Linked DNA regions of Anolis sagrei. The protein of the gene in region 1 purifies or fractionates together with the protein of each later gene. This does not show direct contact. Links are inferred from orthologs where the notes say so. Each region holds a gene or a part of one and is shown on either strand. Other genes may lie near its edges.

The links. Proteins that work in one complex are often made in the same cells at the same time.
Region 2: the proteins of CXXC1 (region 1) and SETD1A purify together in Homo sapiens (affinity purification with western blotting; 16 studies listed by BioGRID and IntAct, counting the BioPlex papers as one, with this or other methods). This does not show direct contact. The link is inferred for Anolis sagrei from reciprocal best matches to the Homo sapiens genes CXXC1 and SETD1A.

The regions. Positions count from the first base shown.
Region 1 is NC_090022.1:193,735,514-193,742,412, reverse strand, and holds the start of CXXC1 (CXXC-type zinc finger protein 1), read right to left. Parts: upstream 3,006-6,899; 5' UTR 2,781-3,005; coding exon 2,778-2,780; intron 559-2,777; coding exon 443-558; intron 1-442. UniProt on the Homo sapiens protein: Transcriptional activator that exhibits a unique DNA binding specificity for CpG unmethylated motifs with a preference for CpGG.
Region 2 is NC_090026.1:14,488,128-14,495,274, forward strand, and holds the start of SETD1A (histone-lysine N-methyltransferase SETD1A), read left to right. Parts: upstream 1-4,133; 5' UTR 4,134-4,276; intron 4,277-4,289; exon of another isoform or gene 4,290-4,424; intron 4,425-7,147. UniProt on the Homo sapiens protein: Histone methyltransferase that catalyzes methyl group transfer from S-adenosyl-L-methionine to the epsilon-amino group of 'Lys-4' of histone H3 (H3K4) via a non-processive mechanism.

The DNA of each region.
Region 1 (6,899 bases):
GCCAGGTGCTTTGGACTTCCAACTCTCAGAAATCCCAGCCAGCTTACTGGCTATTAGGAATTGTGGGAGTTGAAGTCCAAAACACTGAAGGGCTGAAGTTTGCCCAGGCCTTGTGCAGATGCAGCAGCACAGCCCACCCCACCCCGGATACAGGGAATGTACTGTATTCCAATGAAATGTTGCCACAGTGGCACAATGTATTGAACCCTTGTGCCAGTGACCGAAAGGTTGGTGGTTCGAATTCAGGGAACAGGGTGAGATCCCGTCTGTCAGCTCCAGCTCTCCATGTGGGGAAATGAGAGAAGCCTCCCACAAGATGGTAAAACATCTGGACGTCTCCTGGGCAATGTCCTTAGAGACAGTCAATTCTCTCACACTAGAAGTGACTTGCAGTTTCTCAAGTTGCTGATGACATTTTAAAAATTCCCTCAGAAATACTCACATCATGAAACAATTGATATCTGGTTTGCGGCAAATGCAGTAAACTGGAGCGTTCTCTCCATTCTCTGATTTGGACTCCTCGCCCAGAACAGCTAGATCTGGGTCAGAAAATTCATCCTGAGTTGCACAGAAGAAGAGAAAAAATGAATCATGGCAAACACATTTAAGAAGAAGAAAAACTTAATTTTTCTACTCTGCCTCCATGTCTCCAAAGGGACTCGGGGCGGCTTACATGGGGCCCAAGCCCAGGCAGAATACAATTAAAATAAAGCAATAACAATTAAAACAGCATAAAACAACATAACAAAAATAGCTAGCAACAACAACAGCAGACTAATTTTGGAGTGGGGGAGGAAAACCACTACGTGAGCTAGTTAAAGGATAAAGTGGTTTAGTAAGGTAGATGACAATGTATAACGGCATAGGAAAAATCACGGAAACAGACAATAGTTAATACAATATAGGACATCAGATTGAATGACAATTCAAGTCATGATACAGGCCATTTGTCATAGAAGTCGTCAATCGAAAGCATGGCGAAACATCCACGTCTTTAATTCCTTATGGAATGTGACTAGGGAGGGTGCCAGCCTAATCTCCCTGGGGAGTTCCAGAGACGGGGGGCCACCACCGAGAATGCCCTCTCTCTCGTCCCCACCAACTGTGCCTGAGACGGGGGCGGGAACGAGAGAAGGGCATCCCCGGATGATCTTAAGGACCGCGTGGGCTCGTAAGGGAGGAGGCGGTCACACAGATAGCCAGGTACTGAACCGTTTAGAGCTTTATAGGTGATGAAGTTCAACAGTGACAAATGCAAGATACTCCACTTTGGCAGGAAAAACGAAATGCAAAGATACGGAATGGGGGATGCCTGGCTTGAGAGCAGTATGTGTGAAAAAGATCTTGGAGTCCTCGTGGACAACAAGTTAAACATGAGCCAACAATGTGAAGTGGCGGCAAAAAAAGCCAATGGGATTTTGGCCTGCATCAATAGGAGCATAGTATCTAGGTCCAGGGAAGTAATGCTACTCCTCTATTCTGCTTTGGTTAGACCACACCTGGAATATTGTGTCCAATTCTGGGCACCACAATTGAAGAGAGATATTGACAAGCTGGAATGTGTCCAGAGAAGGGCGACTAAAATGATCAAGGGTCTGGAGAACAAGCCCTATGAGGAGCGGCTTAAGGAGCTGGGCATGTTTAGCCTGAAGAAGAGAAGGCTGAGAGGAGATATGATAGCCATGTATAAATATGTGAGAGGAAGCCACAGGGAGGAGGGAGCAAGCTTGTTTTCTGCTTCCTTGGAGACTAGGACGCGGAACAATGGCTTCAAACTACAAGAGAGGAGATTCCATCTGAACATGAGGAAGAATTTCCTGACTGTGAGAGCCGTTCAGCAGTGGAACTCTCTGTCCCGGAGTGTGGTGGAGGCTCCTTCTTTGGAAGCTTTTAAACAGAGGCTGGATGGCCATCTGTCAGGGGTGATTTGAATGCAATATTCCTGCTTCTTGGCAGGGGGTTGGACTGGATGGCCCATGAGGTCTCTTCCAACTCTATGATTCTATGATAACCTGCACTGGAAACTTATCGGCAGCCAGTGGAGATATTTAAACAGGAGGGTTGACCGCTCTCTGTAACTTGCTCCAGTTAACAATCTAGCCGCCGATCTTTGCAGTGACATTTGCTTCACCTCCATACTTCCAGACAGATTTCTACAAAACAACAACAACAATAAAGCTGCAGACTTGTGCATACCTACCATGGAGCAAGCTGCACTCAAGAGACTAAGAATCACTGCACAAAGGAGCCTCCCAAAAGCCAAAGACCTGTCAACGGCTCTGCAAAACTCTTTGACAGAGAGGAGGTGCATCTACTCTGTGGAATGAATACAGTTTGACACCATTTTCAAGGTTCAGCGCTATGGAATCACAGGAGTTGTAGTTCGAGGGGTCACCAGCACTTTTAGGCAGAGAAGGCCAAGGGTCTTACGAAACGACAGATTCCATAGCACGGAGCCATGGCCGTCAAAGCGGTGTCAAACTGCATTAACTCTATAGTGTGGATGCACCCTTGGAAGAGCACTGACCACCAGCAGGGGCCTGGCTCTGTCTTCACCCAGGAGAGTCCTTGCTAGCCATTCTGGGTAAAGACAGAGCCAGGCCCCTGCTAGTGGTCAGTGCCCTTCCCAGGGTGGAGCCCATGAGCACTGGCTCCCTAGGCTGGGAAGGAAACCCAGAGCCCCCCACAGACGCTTCCCTCCTTCCCGCCCTCAGCAACGGAAGGCCGGGCTGAGGGAATGGCGGACCCCAATGCCGCCGGCTCCTCCTCCTCCTCACCATGATCTCCCGCTCTCTTCCTTTCTCTCTCGGCCAGTTCCCTTGTTCTGAAACAAGACGACAAGACGCTCGGCAATAGTAGGCCAGAGCGCCTGCCCGCGACTACTTCCGTTTCCGGTATTAGCCACAACAAGAAAAGACTATCCATGCCAAATGAGGCCCAAACTCCAATTGGACTTCAACTCCCAGAAGTCTCGGATGCTTCGGCCAACGATAAGGAATTCTGGGAGTTGAAGTTCTAGACGCCTCGGAGATACTACGCTAAAAATGGCGGCCTGGCGCCTTCTCGCCAATGGACTTTCGCTGAAGGAGGAGTCCGAGGAGGCGCGTGCGAAGGGAGCCGCCGTTCCATTGGGATTTTTTTGTTTGTTTTGACTTCCTAGAACGTCCTGCTTCGAAGCTAGCGTGACTTCTCGACGCTTCCGCTTCCGGAGCCGATAGAAGAAATATAGAAAAAAAGGCACATGAGCGTGGCTCAGTCACTGCAACGACGGGAGGAGCATTGGGATATTAGTGGTGTTAAGAATGGTTTGACTGGTAATTGTCAGCGCTTGTCTTGTTCAATGTCAAGCTGTCCTTTATGTTTGGATCGCTCGAATAATGCAGTTTAATAAATAAAAATATTAAGGGGGTGTCATTTAGCAGCCCTTTTTATGGTTGCATCTGCACTGTAGATTGAAAGCAGTTTCACACCACTTTACCTGCCATGCTTCAAATGCTGGGATTTCTGGTCTCATAAGGTCTTTTGCCTTATCTTGGCAAAGAGTGCTGGTGTCTTATCAAGCTGGAAATCCCAAGTTTAAACCATAGCAGTTAAAGCAGTGTCAAAACTGCATTCGTTTAATAGTGTAGGAGCAACCATAGACTCAAAGTTGCTGCTAACCCCCCCCCCCTTTTCTCTCTCTCTCTCTCTCTCTTTTCTTTTAAATGTGGAAAACTGCATTATTCAGCCATCCAGCAAATATTACCGCCTCAAGTATGTTTGGCAGAGACGAGAGACAGGGCCTTCTCGGTGGTGGCCCCTTGGCTGTGGAATGCCCTCCCTACAGGTATTAGATCGGCCACCTCCATTTTTACATACCGGAAAAAAGTCAAGACGTGGCTTTTTGAACAAGCATTTGCAAATGCAGAATAACTGACATGTGAAAATGGAATGATTAGACAAAGAGTCCGTACAATGTTTTTAACAAGGAGACACTATAAACTTATATTTTATTGATTTGTTTAGTTTTTGTTATATGTTATTTATGTTTTTAATTGTACTTAAGACATTGGGGAAGGCTGAGCGAAGGAAGATAGATGCTTTTGACCTGTGGTGTTGGAGGGGAGTTCTGGGAGTGCCTTGGACTGCTGGGGGATCCAACCAGTCCATCCTCCAGGAAATAAAGCCCGGCTGCTCATTGGAGGGAAGGATACTAGAGACAAAGTTGAAGTACTTCGGGAACATCATGAGGAGACAGTAAAGCTTAGAGAAGACAATGATGCTGGGGAAAGTGGAAGGTAAAAGGAAGAGGGGCCGACCAAGGGCAAGATGGATGGATGGCATCCTTGAAGTGACTGGACTGACCTTGAAGGAGCTGGGGGGGGGGGGGTGATAGCCAACAGGGAGCTCTGGCGTGGGCTGGTCCATGAGGTCACAAAGAGTCGGAGACGACTGAACGAATGAACAACAACAAGACATTGTAAGCATTGAATTTTGCCCTGTTGACTGCCTTTAGTCGCCTGCAGGCTGAGAAAGGCGGTATACAAATACAGTAAGTAAATAAATAAACATTCTAACAGCAGAAAAGAGATGAGACGAAGTCCTGTGCACCCGGAGTGTGAAGTAGCAGCTCTCCATTGCTCCTCCTTTCCATTGTTGCCTCACACTCATGGCTTCCTTATTCCAGTCTTCCTCCTCTCTTTGGGTCTGCCACTTGGGTCTGCCACTTCCACTCCCAATGGGCAAAGCCACACAAAGAAAGAGAGAGAGAGAGAGAAGCCAGATTCTGGGTCCAGGTCTTCTAGCCACTCTAAGCCAGTGAAAAATGCTTTCGCGAAGCAAGCAAAAGACCCCATCTCAGCTGCTGCTCCAATCTCCCTTATTAAAAAACTGACCATACTAGAGTGACAGCAGTAATTAAGGATTTCATCAACCTAGAGCACCTATCCATTTAAATCTTGTGTCTGCCTCCTGCAGAATTCTGGCATTTGTAGTTTAGAGAAAGGGCCTTTAAAATGCTCAGCCAGGCAGGTCCTGGACCTCATTAAACTACAAACCCCAGAATTCTGCGGGAGGCATCCACAGGATGTAAAGCAGTGGTTCTCAACCTGTGGGTCCCCAGGTGTTTTGGCCTACAACTCCCAGAAATTCCATCCATTTTATCAGCTGTTAGGATTTCTGGGATTTGAAGGCCAAAACACGTGGGGACCCACAGGGTGAGAACCACTGGTTTAAAATGGATCCATTCTCTAGCACAGTGGTTCTCAACCTGTGGATCCCCACGTGTTCTGACCTACAACTCCCAGAAATCCCAGTTTACCAGCTGTTAGGATTTCTGGGAGTTGAAGACTAAAATACCTGGGGTCCCACAGGTCGAGAACCACTGCTGTAGCGTGATAAGGTTCAAAAAGTGGCAGCCCAGAGATGAGAAACTATGCACCAGCTGATAACAGCATCAGGTACAGGTTGAGGAGGCTTTAGGCTGGCCAGGAAATCCAGAGAGAGAAACAAGAAAAGTTGGGGTGAGGACTATAAAAAAAAAAATCTAAAAATCAAAGTTCAAATAGGTTTTCCCCCTAAATTGGAACTTCAAAAGTGGGCTGTATCTCAGTCAATGAAATATGGTATTTCACCCTCAGCTTTTCATTTTTTCTGATAAATATGTTAGCAAATGTGTGATGTTTTAAAACTGGCATAAAGTGTCAAGGTTTTTTTGATTGCCAATATGTATTCTTCGCACACCTCGCAGATCTTCCAAATGAAACACAATAGCCAGGGGCTTACAGAAGTGATGTTAGTTTAGTTTTGGCTTATTTTTGTCCAATTGCAAGCTGAAGATTTGATTTTTTCCCTCCCAAGATTTCTGTAGAGTATTTTCAAAAATTGAAATGGATAAATATTTTGAGCACAGATTGATCCTGTATCTAGGGAAGAGAAGTTGCATAATATTTCTGTAGAGTCATTAAATGCCGTTCAATATGCTGCGGGTTTATTTTTAGAGAAAACATTTGCTGCAGTCTTTATTATTTTAAGCTGTTCACTATTGATAAGACCTGAAATAACATTTATCTAGATAGAACAATATGCTTGCTGGAGCGATTCTGCCAAAAAGGAAATTTTAGTTAGATCAGTTTTTAATCTCACATTGAATCTTTTGTAGTTGAGATGTTGCGGGTTATTGAAGTTTTTCATAGTTAAGGTATTTGAAGGCATATGAACATGTCTTTGGCTGGGGACCATTGTTTATTTGAATGATTTTTGCATGGTTTATTTTTAAACACATGGTCTTGCAGTTTTAGAGAACCTTACATATAAGCTCAAGAATTGATTAATAAATGTGGCATTCAAGCCATCAGTTTCAAATTTTGCAGTTGTCTGGTTTTTCGTTATAGCCAGTGCAAGAGTTGCAATGAAAATGCATATGGGAAGAGATGTTATCTGTGCTTAATGCCTACATGGTTGAGTTCAATGTTATAAGTACAGTGGGCCCCTGATGTCTGCTGGTTTGGTCCCTGTGGATATCAAAATCTGTGAATGCTGGAGTCCTGTTATTTTAAAATGGCATAGTAAAATAGGGTTGTTTAATGAGTTGAAAATATTTTTTCAAGCTGTGGATGGTTGAACCTGTGCATACAAAAGGCTGAGAGTGTTTGTCTAAACTGTGGCTGGTAACACCTGATATAATAGTGAAGTACCTAGAAATAATTAATTGATAACACTGTGTTTAATTCACCATTTGGCTCAAAAAGAGCCTCTAGGTCTAGGTCAACTTAAAATTTAGAAATAATTAAAAATATGTATAACAACAAACATTAGAAACAAAATTAAGGACCAGGGTTGAAATTGCATTTCAAGTTTGGAAAACCTCTATGGAACGAAGTTTTGACACATCACCTAAACTGTACCAGCCCCCATCAGAC
Region 2 (7,147 bases), on another chromosome or scaffold:
TCATACTTCCCATTCGGAATGATTCAACATCACTACAGGCTGTCCAAAAAATCACCATACATAAGGAAAATGGGAAATTGGAGCTAAATGTACCTTTATTTACAAAATATTCATTACACATTTTTACAAAATATTCTCTACATTTTGGCCACCTCTTTCTACACTAACACACACAAAGTGTAATTTTTTCCTATGTATGGAGACTTTTGTGACACCCTATAGAGATACAAGTGCATTAGCACTACTTCATCAGTTCTGAAAAGGAGATGTACCTATAATCTCGGGGCATTAAAACAAAGCTGGACTTGCATAAAACTATTAATGTGGGATCACCAAAAATAATTTAAAAATAGATTGAAAATAGCGAATTGCATACTCTATATAACTCTCATTTTGACCTCATCAACAGGCTGTGCCACATAATAATAATAATAATAATAATAATAATAATAATAATAATAATATGGAACCAAGCATTTGGAGAGTAGTTACAGTGCAATATGCAGCTACAAAGTTAAGATGGTTGGAATGGCTTTTGGATTATGATTTCAGGACGACGTGCTATGCTTTAACTGCTTATTTAAATGTATTTATATCTTTCTGCTTTTTTTATTTTAATGTATTTATTTATTTATTTATTTCTGACATTTATATCCCATCCTATCTCGACTTCCGCAGAGGGACAACAAAAGCATAAATATACATCTTAGGTCAAAACAGTATAAAACATTATAAAAACATAAAAACAGTGAAACATTAGAACAATCGGCAGAATTAAATCGTCGTCCTACACACAGTCCAATTGAGTCCATTAAACCATAGCTCTACCATCATGTTGCTCTAGTCTGCTGATCCCACAGCCTTGATTTCACCTTTTTCCGGAAGGTCAGGAGCAGGTCTGATTTTACTCAGGAGGGAATTCCATAGCCAAGGGGCCACAACAGAGAAGGCCCTGTCTCTCCCCCTCCCCCCACAACCGCAATTGTAATGATGGGGGGGACAGAGAGCAGGCCCCCTCGAACAATCTTAAGGTCCTAGGTGCTTCGTAGCGGGAGATACGTGTGGACAGGTAAACTGGGCCAGAACCGTTAAAGGCTTTATACTTACTTTCTTAGGCGATTCCTCGTTGTCCGAGTAGGATAGTCTTCCATGATCAGTGTGCTGGTGGATCCGTAGGTGACTGTGCAGCCCTATTTTTGATCTGCATTGTCTCCCACAGTGAGGGCATTGGTTTCCAGGTGGAAGGCGGTCTTGGTTGGGGTTGGCTTGACGCGCCTTCCTCTTGGCACATTTCTCTCTTTCACCCTCCATTCGTGCCTCTTCAAATTCTACAGCACTGCTGGTCACAGCTGACCTCCAGTTGGAGCGCTCAAGGGCCAAGGATTCCCAGTTCTCAGTGTCAATGCCAGAGTTTTAAAGGTTGGCTTTGAGCCCATCTTTAAATCTCTTTTCCTGTCCGCCAACCTTCCGTTTTCCATTCTTGAGTTCGGAGTAGAGCAACTGCTTTGGGAGACGGTGGTCAGGCATCCGGACAACGTGACCAGTCCGGCAGAGTTGATGGCGGAGGACCATAGCTTCAATGCTGGTGGTCTCTGCTTCTTCCAGCACGCTGACATTTGTTCGCTTGTCTTCCCATGAAATTTGCAGGATTTTCCAGAGGCAGCGCTGATGGAATCGTTTCAGGAGTTGCATGTGGCATCTGTAGACAGTGCACGTCTCGCAGGCGTAGAGCAGAGTTGGGAGGACAGTAGCTTTATAAACAAGCACCTTGGTCTCCCTCGGATTTATTATTATTATTATTATTATTTATTATGCCCCAGTCCTCAAACACTCTCTGCTTCATTCGGAAAAAAGCTGCACTTGCAGAGCTCAGGCGTTGTTGTATTTCAGTGTCAATATTGACTTCTGTGAAGAGGTGGCTGACAAGGTAGCGGAAATAATCAACATTTTCGAATGTTATACCATTAAGCTGTGTTTCTGGCATTGGAGAGGGATTGGCTGGTGACTGCTGGAAGAGCACTTTGGTTTTCGTATGATATTGTTTCTAGCACCCACGTTTTGCTTGATATTCATACGAAAGCTGACTGGCACAACCTGGGGATCACAACCAGACACAGTGAAGACATCTGCCCTTGCACTATGCTACTCTGCTGCTGAGTACGCATGCCCAGTGTGGAACACATCTCACCATGCTAAAACAGTGGATGTGGCTCTTAATGAGACATGCTGCATTATCACGGGGTGTCTGCGCCCTACACCACTGGAGAAATTACACTGTCTAGCCGGTATTGCACCACCTGACATCCGCCGGGAAGTAGCAGCCAATAGTGAAAGGACCAAATGTAGTGACATCTCCTACTCATCCCTTGTTTGGGTATCAGCCAGCACATCAACGACTTAAATCAAGAAATAGTTTTCTTAGATCTACAGAGACACTCGCTGGAACACCTCAGCAAGCGAGAGTCCAAAAGTGGCAGACTCAAACCCAGCACCTCAATCCATGGGTGATACCAGATGAGAGACTCCCTCCTGGGCACACAGAAGTCTGGGCGACTTGGAAGGCGCTGAACAGACTGCGCTCTGGCACCACGAGATGCAGAGCCAACCTTAGGAAATGGGGCTATAAAGTGGAATCCATGACATGCGAGTGTGGAGAAGAACAAACCACTGACCACCTGCTGCAATGCAACCTGAGCCCTGCCATATGCACAATGGAGGACCTCCTTGTGGCAACACCAGAAGCACTCCAAGTGGCCAGATACTGGTCAAAGGACATTTGATCAACTACCAAGCTTGCAAATTTTGTGTTTTGATTGTTTGCTTTGCTCTGTTAGAAATGTAATACAATTGTCTGGCTGCCCCTGACACGATAAATAAATACTTTGGTTTGATCGATGTTCAATGACATGCCGAGCTTCTCCGTGAAAAATACTAAAACCTATTATGCTGAGTTTCCTAACTGGATATTTTAAGTTGATTTTAATAATGTGTGGGATAGAAAAGTTTGGCCTTCCCTCAAATATCAACCCAGAATGGGAAAATTCTATTCTGTACTTGGCCTGAATCTTTTCCATCATTTCCCGAAGCCATTTCTACCTCCAGGGACCACAATCCTCCCGCTGCGCAAGCTTCGCAATTTTTTCCTTCTGCCATCCCGTTGTTAGAGCTAGCTTTGATGTCGTACGCGCAGATTCGCGAGGCTCCCATTTTGTCACGAGAGGAAAAAAATACCCAAAGAACCCCCGCTCTTTCCGCTCAACATCCTTTAACCCCTTCTCAAGCAAGAACTTCCATTTTCAAAGCGGAGCCTTTTAAGTCGGAAAGTGCGAGTCCGGAACGGCCGACCAGTTTCCTTTTTCCCCCGTTGCGCCTTGCTCTTGTAAGATTTAGGCTGCTGTTTAGAATCGAATGATTCGTCTCTAGGAGAAAACAAAAAAAGGAGATTCTTACGTTCTATGGAATCACACGGAGACTTTTTTAAAAAAGAAAATCATATATTGACGTAGTTATAATGAGTCTTTTCCTCCTCATCTAATTCGTTCTCTACAGTGTGACGAAAGTAATTTTCATTTTCAAAGCAGAGCCTTTTAAGTCGGAAAGTGCAGATACGGAACGGCCGACCAGTTTCCTTCTTTTCCCTTTGAGCCTTGCTCTTGTCAGATTTAGGCTGCTGTTTGGAATCGAAAGATTCGTCACTAGGAGAAAAAAATAAAGGAGATTCTTGCATTCTATGGAATCACACGGAGACTTTTTTAAAATCATATATTTGTGTAGTTCTAATAACGGGTCATTTTTCCCCCTTTATCCAACTCGTTCTCTACAGTGTGACGAAAGTAACATTCATTTTCAAAGCAGAGCCTTTTAAGTCGGAAAGTGCGGCTCCGGAACATTTGAGCCTCCCTCTTGTAAGATTTAGGCTGCTGTTTGGAATCGAACAATTCGTCACTAGGACTGGAAACAAGAAAAAAAAAATCTTACATTCTGTGGTAGAACCACGGGGAGACTTTTAAAAAAATAGTATAGTTGTGTAGTTATAATAATCATTTTCATTTTTCCCTCCTTCGTCTAACTCGTTCTGTACAGCGTGGCGAAAGTGCGGTTGAGGAAACGGAAGGAGGAGAGAACAACAAACCAAACACCGTCACCATAGAGAAGAACAAGGGTGGCGACGACGAAGGAGAGGGGGAAGCAGGATCTCGCGAGACCCGGCGAGAGTCTCGAATCGGAGGTTTTGGCCCCGCCCACTGGTCCCTGTCGGCAGCGGCGGTGGCAAGAGGTAGCGGGTGCTTGTCACCCTTTTCCCTTCTTTCCCTTCTCCCCACCTTCTCTCGCTCGCTCTTCCTCAGACCTCGGCTTGTCCTCTATGGGCGGAGAGCGGGAAGAAGGCCGCGAGTGGGAGAGAAGAGACTGAGAAAGGCAGGAGGGTGCGCGAGCCAGGCCGGGCCGAGAGGGAGGGAGGGAGGGGGAGGGGGAGGGGGGCGTGCGCGCGCCTGGCTCCTGAGAGAGAGTGAAGGGAGGGGGGAGGGGGCGCGCGCTCTCTCTCTTCCGCGAGGCGCCAATGACGGGTGGGGGGGGGGGGGGCGAGGGAGCGGGAGCGCGCGCGGGGGTGCACCTGGTGGGCGGGGCCGGGCACTGGGCCTGGTTTTGTGTGTATGTGTGTGTGTGTGTTGTTTTGTTTTGGTTTTATTTTGGAGGATGGAGGGCTGGGAAGGAGAAGATAGGATCCTGTCTTAATCTGTGTGTATCTGCATATCGGTATGTCTATCTATCTATCAGGCATGGGTAAATTTGGGCCTCCCTCCAGGTGTTTTGGACTCCAACTCCCACCATTCCAAAGATCCAGAGGAATAAGATAGGATCCCCCCCCCCCCCCCGTATATATGTATGCACATCTATCTATCAGGCATGGGCAAACTTGGGAGAAGATAGGATTCTCTCTCTTCTTTCTCTCTCTGTATATATGTATGTATGCATATCTATCTATCTATCAGGCATGGGCAAACTTGGGAGAAGATAGGATTCTCGCTCTTCTTTCTCTCTCTGTATATATGTATGCATAACTATCTATTTATCAGGCATGGGCAAACTTGGGCATCCCTCCAGGTGTTTTGGACTCCAGCTCCCACTATTCCTAATATCCAGAGGAATAAGATAGGATCTCCCCCCCCCCCCCCCGTATATATGTATGCATATCTATCTATCAGGCATGGGCATACTTGGGAGAAGATAGGATTCTCTCTCTTCTTTCTCTCTCTGTATATATGTATGTATATCTATCTATCTGTCTATCAGGCATGGGCAAATTTGGGCCTCCCTCCAGGTGTTTTGGACTTCCAACTCCCACTATTCCAAAGATCCAGAGGAATAAGATAGGATCCCCCCCCCCCCTCTCTGTATATATGTATGCATATCTATCTATCAGGCATGGGCATACTTGGGAGAAGATAGGATTCTCTCTCTTCTTTCTCTCTCTGTATATATGTATGCATATCTATCTATCTATCAGGCATGGGCAAACTTGGGCCTCCCTCCAGGTGTTTTGGACTCCAACTCCCACCATTCCTAACAGCCATAGGGAGAAGATAGGATCTCCCCCCCCCCCCCCCTGTATATATGTATGCATATCTATCTATCAGGCATGGGCAAACTTGGGCCTCCCTCCAGGTGTTTTGGACTCCCAACTCCTACTATTCTTAACAGCCATAAGGAGAAGATAGGATTCTCTCTCTTCCTTCTCTCTCTGTATATATGTATGCATATCTGTCTATCTGGCATGGGTAAACATGGGCCTCCCTCCAGGTGTTTTGGACTCCAACTCTTCCAATTCTTTGGAAGCTTTTAAACAGAGGTTGGCTGGCCATCTGTAAGGGGTGATTTGAATGCAATGTTCCTGCTTCTTGGCAGAATGGGGTTGGACTGGATGGCCCATGAGGTCTCTTCCAACTCTTTGATTCTATGATTCCAGTTGGTTTGGACTCCCACTATTCCTAAGAGCCATAGGGAGAAGATAAGATTATCTCTCTTCTTTCTCTCTCTGTATATGTATGCATATCTATCTATCTGACATGGGCAAACTTGGGCCTCCCTCTAGATGTTTTGGACTCCAATTCCCACTATTCCTAATAGCCAGAAGGAGAAGATAGGATCCTCTCTCTCTCTTTCTCTGTATATATGTGTGTGTGTGCATATCTATATATCTATCTGGCATCGGCAAACATGGGCCTCCCTCCAGGAGTTTTGGACTCCAACAGCCAGAGGGAGGAAGGAGAAGATAGGATCCACCTCTCTCTCTCTGTATATATGAATTTATATCTTTCTTACTATCTGCATGGGCAAACTTGGGCCTTCCTCCAGATGACTTCAACTCTCACAATTCCTAACAGCCAGAGATAGGAGGGAGAAGATAGGATTCCCACCCCCACCCCCCTTATATATGTATGCATATCTATCTATATATCTATCTGACTTGGGCAAACTTGGGCTTCCCTCCAGGTGTTTTGGACTCCAACATCCCCCCCCCCCAAATATATATATTTGTGTGTATGCTTATCTATATATCTTGCATGGGCAAATTTGGGCTTCCCTCCAGGTGTTTTGGACTCCAACACCCCCCCCCCCATATATATGTATGCATATCTATCTATCTTGCATGGGCAAACTTGGGCCTCCCTCCAGGTGTTTTGGACTCCGACTCCCACCATTCCTAACAGCCTCAGGACCCTTCCTCCCCCCCCCCCCCCCACAACAGCCTCAGGTCCCTGAGGGGGGAAAGGAAAGGTCCTGAGGCTGTTAGGAATGGTGGAAGTTGGAGTCCAAAATACCTGAAGGAAGGGTCCAAGTTTGTCCATCTCTGATGTAGATGTGAGGCCTGTACAACTTGTGGCCCTCTTTGTGTTTGGGGCCCCCAACTCCCAGGAGGCCTAGCCAGCTTGCCCAATGGTCAAGCATTCTAGCAACCAAGGGCCCAAACCACAGGCTGTGCAGGCCTGATCTATAAGGTATTAGTAAGTGTGGGATACAAGAGGGGGGAATATTTCATTTTATATATATAGAAAGAGAGATAATGTGGTATAGCATGGAGAGGTGGTGAGGAGAAAGTCCTGATATATATGGAGTGGAGGAGAAGCAAAGTAAGATTAACAGATAT